Bombyx mori: one gene and its partner. The protein of the gene in region 1 purifies or fractionates together with the protein of each later gene. This does not show direct contact. Links are inferred from orthologs where the notes say so. Each region holds a gene or a part of one and is shown in the gene's direction. Other genes may lie near its edges.

Region 1 (3,568 bases):
TAATTTTAAACATTAACGTTCATTGTCGTTTCTGCACTATCCGTGCTACATCCTGCTATCCGATACTCACTTCCCCGATGTTAGTCCTTAACTAAATTTGAATTAACGATGTCTATTTAGTGTACCCGGGTTTGGGCGATCCCCGGTCTTACTCAATATCTTGAATAATACTGACGTTTGGCGCTCATGATCTAATTCTTGTTTAAAAATAGTAGAATAACGAAACTCCAAAAACAATCAAATTACTAGCTGAAATGAATCATACAGTTACAGTGATTAACAAACTTGTTTTTATACTGTATCATGAATTTGTAAATGATTTAGAGACTCAAGAAATATCCAACAGAATTAATCGGGTTCTTAGAATTACGGAAAAAAACTGCTACTCGTCTCAGAATGACTATGCATATTTATTTATTTTAAAAACCTAAATATAACAAATAAAATGAAAAACCTAGTCAAAAAACACAGATATTGTATATACCTAATATTTTTTGCAATTATCAGGTGACTTTGCGTTTTGAACGGATTTGAGAATTGACGATTCTTTGTGATTGATATACGTCAATGAAGATTAGCTTAAAAGTAATAATTTTTGCTTTTCAAACACGTGACGTATTTCAAAACACATAAGGCACACACTGTTCATCAAGTAATTTAAGATTTTTGAACAATTCCTTTAATTATTAAGCCTGTAGCCCGGCCTTTAGATTAAGGTTAGGATTTCGAAATAAGATTAAAATTGCGCTCCTAATTCCTAAGATATACTTAGCCATTCGAAACTTTAAGGGTGGACAGCTGTGGAGGAATTTAAAAATAGAAGTACTCGCATTTGCATAGTAGTTAATACAGATAAACGAGCTAAAGACCTAGCTAATGTTATACGGTTTTTTTTTTTAATTCTTAGATGCGTGGACGACCTCACAGCCCCCCTGGTTTTAAGTGGTTACTGGAGCCCATAGACATCTACAACGTAAATGCGCCACACACCTTGAGATATAGTTCTAAGGTCTCAATATAGTCACAACGGCAGCCCCACCTTTCAAACCGAAACGCATTACTGCTTCACGGCAGAAATAGGCTGGGCGATGATACCTACCCGTGCGGACTCACAAGAGGTCCTGCCACCAGTAAAATTATATTGTTATAATATATGTATTATACATATGTAAGTATTATATTAATTCTGGTATTAAGATAAATGGTATGATATGGTATTTGTGCTCAGGCGATGTTCACGAGCGGCCTCAAGGAGTGTGAAATGTCAAGGGTCCGGCTACAAGGCGTGTGTCCTTCAGCGATGGCCTGGCTGATATACTTTATGTACACGGGGAAGATCAGGATAACTGAAGTGACGGTCTGCCAGCTGCTCCCGGCCGCCACCATGTTCCAGGTTAGTATTTGATACTGCTTACCACATAAATCGTCTTACACTAGATTTTGCAAATGCCACAACGCATATATAACTCAAAATTGCGACCGTCCATCTCGTGAATTCACGCTTCTGTTGCAGCGTGTAGTGGACATTCTCATTGTGATGCCTAAGGGCTCGGGTAACGCCTCTCCGAAAATAATAATTACTGACAGAAATACTGTTTTTTTTTGGAACGAAGTTCCTTATGGGACGATGCGGAGGAGTACCCTACCCGTAAAAAACGTCCGTAACGTAAGATTTTTATTAGTAATGCACACAGTGTACGACTTAACTTTGTAATAGCGTACAAAAAATAACATATTTTATTATCATTCATTGACCACGATCTCAGAGCGTTCGTTTGCGCAATACACTAACTCTTATGCAAACAACTATGAATGAAGTGTACCACAACACGTTCGCACGTTACCGAATGACCGTTGTTGCGACCGGGTCGTTGCGAAACCTCTAGTTTTATTTTCTTTATAGCTCGAATAGAACTTAAAATTAATATTTTTATAAATAGGAACTTCGTTCCTATCCGGTGTCCAACGACACCACACATCTTTTTTTTGTGAACGTAGAGAAATCGAAATACAGAAAATTCTAGCAATATCTCGAAAATAGGTTGTTTTAGAAATAGATTAGGAAGATAAGATTTTCTAAAAAAAATCTTTTCGAATAGTTTCAAAGTTTGTCAACATCCGTTAACTAATATCTTAATTTTGTCCAAGTTCCAATTAAACCTCCAATAGGACATAAGAAAACCGTTCCCGGAATCGAAACAGCCATGCTAGTAGAGAACTAACTAATAATAAACTGAAAACAAATTTTAAAAAAATTGTTGTTGCTTATTTATGTGGACGAGCTCACGGCCCTGACCTCACGTGGTGTTAAGTGGTTACCGGAGCCTGTAGATATCTACAACGTAAATGCCGCCACCCACCTTGAGATATGAGCTCTAGTCTCAGTATAGTTACAACGGCTGCCCCACCCTTCAAACCGAAACGCATTACTGCTTCACGGCAGAAATAGGCAGGGGCAAATTATAATTTTGCGGGTTTGATTTTTATTACACGATGTTATTCCATCACCGTCGAAGTCGATCGAGAACATTTGTTAAGTACGTACATATTTCATTAGAAGAATTGTTATTTGCCAGCGAGATTCGAACACCGGTGCATCGCTAAATACGAATGCACCGGACGTCTTATCATTTAGACCACGACGACTTCAATGTTAAATAATATTACGCGAACCCGCAATCTGAAATGAAAGTAACTGAAACCCCGCGTCTCACGAAATAAAATAAACACTGCTCGCTCCGTTTTGTGTTACATTACGCGCTTAGCTATAAACTAAATCGTTTCTTGTTACATTGCGCGTGCTCAGATCGCGACTTGTCCTCGCTTTCGGCAACAGTTTTCTTACACCGGACATAATAAATAATGTACAATGGTACATTGTGCACCAAGGGAGAAAAGTTGGACATTTCCTCCCGCGGTGCACATACTATTTTTTCTCCTACCAGGCCGAAAGTTCGTGGAGTACCGAGCCGGGGCCCAGGGGCGAAGCCCTGGCAGGGGGGGGGGAGCCCCACGTTCTCATAAAAAAACAATTTAACTGTTTTTTAATTTTTAAATAAACTACTACTAATTGAATAAGAACTGTCTGATGAAGTCATCTTTGTTTAATACTTCACTATTAAATTTTATTGCCTTTTGTTTATTTCACTTTTACACTAAACACAATATTGCAATTACCCGAGCACAACAATGGCGGAGAATTTTAGGTGCGTGAGAGCAGACGTAGACACTAACGCGCATGCGCACTTGTCAGTACCCAGGGAGGAAAAGTTACACTTTCTTCCCTGTACAGCGGGACGAAAACCGAACTTTCGGCGTAGGTAGGAGAAAAAACTATTTGTATTTGTAGTTTTGTTGCATACCAAACGTTGTTTGTTCGTTAAGTTGTTGACTACACTTATTTTAGACGTGTGCCGACAGATAACGAATGTAATAAACGCATGCAGCGCGTTCCTCGAGCGACAGCTGGACCCCTCGAACGCGATCGGCATCGCGAACTTCGCCGAACAACACGGATGCGTTGAACTCAAGAAGAGAGCCAATCAATTTATCGAGAGACATTTCACGC
Region 2 (4,278 bases), on another chromosome or scaffold:
ATAGCGTAAAAGTTAGCTCATATTTACATTGTATGGAGTGGGATCGTTTGCCTACGTTTGCCTTTAGGGGCGTTGTTCCAACTGCATACAAAATCGCGTTAAATTTTACGCTATCGAGAACGTTAAAAAACTCGCACTAAGCACACAGGTGGCTCATAATATCAAAACGTGAAGTGCCTTTAAGCGTAAACTGTGCCCTCGAACCGGAAAACATGATATGACAGACATAGATGGGATCGCAGTACCTACACAATTCACAATGTGCCCCTACCCCCTTACTTAGATTTCCAAAAAAAATATTCTTTGCAGCTGAAATAAAAAATCACTTATTTGTTCATTCTGAAGATTTTTAGAATATTTAAAATGCAATGTCAACGAAAGATTGGTATTATTATTATTATATTTTTTTTTTATTGCTTACATTGGGACGAGCTCACATCCCACCTGGTGTTAAGTGGTTACTGGAGCCCATAGACATCTACAACGTAAATGCACCACCCACCTTGAGATATAAGTTCTAAGGTTTCAAGTATAGTTATAACGGCTGCCCCACCCTTCAAACCGAAACGCATTACTGCTTCACGGCAGATTTAGACAGGGTGGTGGTACCTATCCGCGCGGACTCACAAGAGGTCCTACCACCACGAATTACGCAATTTATAATTTTGCGGGTTTGATTTTTATTACACGATGTTATTCCGTCACCGTGGAAGTCAGTCGTGAGCATTTGTTATGTACGTATTTCAGTAGAAAAATTGGTACCCGCCTGAGATTCGAAGACTAGTGCATCGCTCAATACGAATGCACCAGACGTCTTATCTTTTAGGCCACGACGACTATAATATATCAGCTGCATTATAGCTAAAGTTATGTTTATCTATTTTCTAGGAAGATACTTCGGTACTAGGTTAGTAAAAATGATTTGCGTTCGAGTACTAAGAGAGTTCGAAGTGACAACATCTAGAACATACAAGGATCTCAAACTATCGATAGCTATATCTGTGTCTCCATTGGATGGGTTCCCAGTTAAATTACATCCCAGGAAAATTAAAGAGAAACAGTAATCTGGTAAAATGGTATAATTACTAAAAATTGTAATAAATTTTTAAGAAATGGGATTTCAGAATAAAATATTAAAATTTAACAGTATTTCATTAAGTTTTGCGAATCGCAAGCTTAATTAACACTATTAAACCATAGCCGACTTAACCTAATAGGTGTAAGGCTCTAATAAAGAATTTAAAAAAAAACGGTTTAATTTCGTGTGTATTATTTACTGGTGTTATTAGTCGAATTTTACCATCGCACCGCCTGTCACCAGAATAAAATTCATCCATAATAACTGGATCCACTGCGTTCGTCTACAGTGTGTTTCCTGTGTTCTATTTAGCCACGTACCATCCGGCTTTGTAATGAGGTTCCCTCTACGCTGATTCCCGAGCGCTATGGTAATATGTCCTTCTTCAAACAAGTATCGTGGAGAGTACATAACGGTAGGCAGCGGTTGGTCTGGCTGTTTCCTACTTCAGTGGTCTGGCTGTGCCCCGATTTGTGAATTAAATTAATGTTTTTAAAATGTCAATGTCAAAAATACACATTGTCAAATGACAAAAGTTCACGACTGATTTTGACTTGAGAGATACAGTAAATAATAGGTTATTTTATTACCTACTTCGGAATTTGGCACAATAACCACTTTTAGAAATCTACTTCCACTATTCGAACGAAATCAATGATATAGAATAAAAATTTACTGCAATGGGCTCACTTTCTAGATTTCATAAAATAGCCCTCATCAGCTTAGGTGCTGTAGGTGGTGGTTTAGCGTACTATCAGATAAACAGCGGGAAAAATGAGAAGAAATACGGTGCTTATAATTCATGGACTACAAATTTTACTCCAAGCGTGAAATGGGACAAGAACTGGGACCAGTAAGTAATTACAAACTTTTTTATTAATACTTTTAAACGAAGAGTGTCTGACACCATATCATACATACATTTACGGCGGATAGTAGCTGTAGAGTGTTATTACATAGGTAGTTAATATTCATTAGTGGCCGTAACTAGATTTTATTCGGTTAATATTCTCATGGCCTCCTAAAGAAAGGTTATTCATTATTTGAGTTATTTAAGTATACTTAATTTTCGTAAAAACAAAAATCGCAAGTCATATATGTCATTGAATAGCATTGGAAGAAACAACAACAAGAGTGTATCATTGGCAAGTAGGTACAAACATAATAATATCTAAATTCACTTTGTTCTGTATATATTTTTAATGTTTCGAGAATAAGCTAAACTATAATAGATGATTTTGAATTAATATATAAGCATAGGAATATTTTATGCTGTTCCCCCTTCCATTGTCACATGATTGATATAATTTGACCTGTTTAAAATAACCACAATGAAGAGCTTAAAATAACTAATGATTCAGTTTTATCTTTGTAAAGATGTTATGGCATTTCAAGTAGTAGTAATAAATATAAAAAATAAAAAAAAATTATATTTAAAAGAATAATTGAAATATTTTCCAGTAGAGAACCAGAGTCGATAGTTAGACCAAAAAGGTCAGATGAACCAGAAGAAGAGAACAAATACAATGAGAAATTGGAAAAAGCAAGAAGCAAAGCTGTCAGACATCTATTCCTGATCAGACATGGCCAGTACAATGTGCAGGGAGAAACAGACAAAGAAAGAACCCTCACGGACCTAGGTAACTTATTTACTTTTCAAATCATGTTGTAGTTTAAAAGAAAATAAAATTTATTCACAAACCAAATCTATATATTAATATACGTGAAGCAAAAACTTTGTACCCCTTTTTTTTACGAAAATTGTGCGGACGGAGAAGTATCAAATATTAAAAAAAAATGTATTAATAATACATTAAATCAATAAAAAAAATATTACACACACTACCATGTACCTATTTGACATACACACATATATACTCTTTAATTATTAATCCTCTTTAGTTCTGTCGTGAAACTTATCTAAGTTCTGATCTGATGGAAGTTGCAAATGTATTGTATAACAGCTGACCCAAACTCTGAAGTTTCAAGATGGGCAGAGTCTCATGGCATGTTTATGGGCTCTGGTAACTGCTTAATACCAGATGGGCCATGAGCTTTTTTATGACCATGAACGAATCATAATATTTTGTGTTATGCATTTATGATACATTATTTTTAGGTAGAATCCAAGCAGACCTAACAGGTCAGAGACTAGCATCCTTAGATATAAAATGGGATCTACTTGTTAAATCTACAATGACAAGAGCACAGGAAACTGCTGCCATTATAGCAAAGCACTTAGACAAAGATATTGAAGTTAAAGATTGTCAATTATTAGAAGAAGGTGCTCCGATACCCCCTGAACCTCCCGTGGGACACTGGAGGCCTGAACCAAGAGTAAGTAATCTACTAATAATATTCATAAACAATAAAATCATTCAGTACAATTTAAAATGATAAAAATTGAAATTAAGCGAGTTCAAGGAGATCCCTGTTTTTTTATTGCTTTGATAATAGATGATTGCAGGTATGAATTTAAAACATGATGTTATTCATTCTTTGTGTAAGTCATTAGTGAATAGCTTTTTTTTTTTTATTGCTTTGATGTGTGGACGAGCTCTCAGCCCACCTGGTGTTAAGTGGTTACTGGAGCCCATAGACATCTACAACGTAAATGCGCCACACACCTTTAGATTGTATTTCTTTTATTTAGAATAATTAGTGTTTGCCAGCAACCACGCTTGATATCATTACACTATTTCATCTCTTAGTCTGGAATTATTTAAATTTAAACAGTGTCATTACAGGTATAATAGTTAGAACCTTATATTGCATGCGCTCACAAATAGATAATTTATTTAGAAGAAAAAATCAACACTGCATCCTGCTATTTACATAGCATGTGTTTTTGTTGTTGTAGTTAGATATTTATATTTAGTTGTTTGGATTCATTATACTGACCAAGACTGGCATTATTCCATTTAATATACTAACCGCTTGCAGAATTTATATTGAGATGTAACTTCTAATGTTTAATATTCTACAATAATATTAATGTGGGAGTAAAATTAGATTGTAAATATATTAGATAGGTAACTTTTAACGTTTAATATTCTACATATTTTAATATTAATGTGGGAGTAAAATTAGATTGTAAATAAATTAGATAGGTAACTTTTAACGTTTAATATTCTACATATTTTAATATTAATGTGGGAGTAAAATTAGATTGTAAATAAATTAGATAGGTAACTTTTAAT

The links. The genes of interacting proteins can lie anywhere in the genome.
Region 2: the proteins of kelch-like ECH-associated protein 1B (region 1) and serine/threonine-protein phosphatase Pgam5, mitochondrial purify together in Homo sapiens (affinity purification with western blotting; 6 studies listed by BioGRID and IntAct, with this or other methods). This does not show direct contact. The link is inferred for Bombyx mori from reciprocal best matches to the Homo sapiens genes KEAP1 and PGAM5.

What each region holds. Positions count from the first base shown.
Region 1 is NC_085128.1:13,266,603-13,270,170, reverse strand, and holds part of kelch-like ECH-associated protein 1B, read left to right. Parts: intron 1-1,228; coding exon 1,229-1,393; intron 1,394-3,420; coding exon 3,421-3,568. UniProt on the Homo sapiens protein: Substrate-specific adapter of a BCR (BTB-CUL3-RBX1) E3 ubiquitin ligase complex that regulates the response to oxidative stress by targeting NFE2L2/NRF2 for ubiquitination.
Region 2 is NC_085122.1:9,467,875-9,472,152, reverse strand, and holds the start of serine/threonine-protein phosphatase Pgam5, mitochondrial, read left to right. Parts: upstream 1-1,470; 5' UTR 1,471-1,758; coding exon 1,759-1,931; intron 1,932-2,539; coding exon 2,540-2,718; intron 2,719-3,197; coding exon 3,198-3,415; intron 3,416-4,278. Other genes in the region: CYP367A1 (uncharacterized protein LOC101741325), read left to right, coding at 889-1,064. UniProt on the Homo sapiens protein: Mitochondrial serine/threonine phosphatase that dephosphorylates various substrates and thus plays a role in different biological processes including cellular senescence or mitophagy. Modulates cellular senescence by regulating mitochondrial dynamics.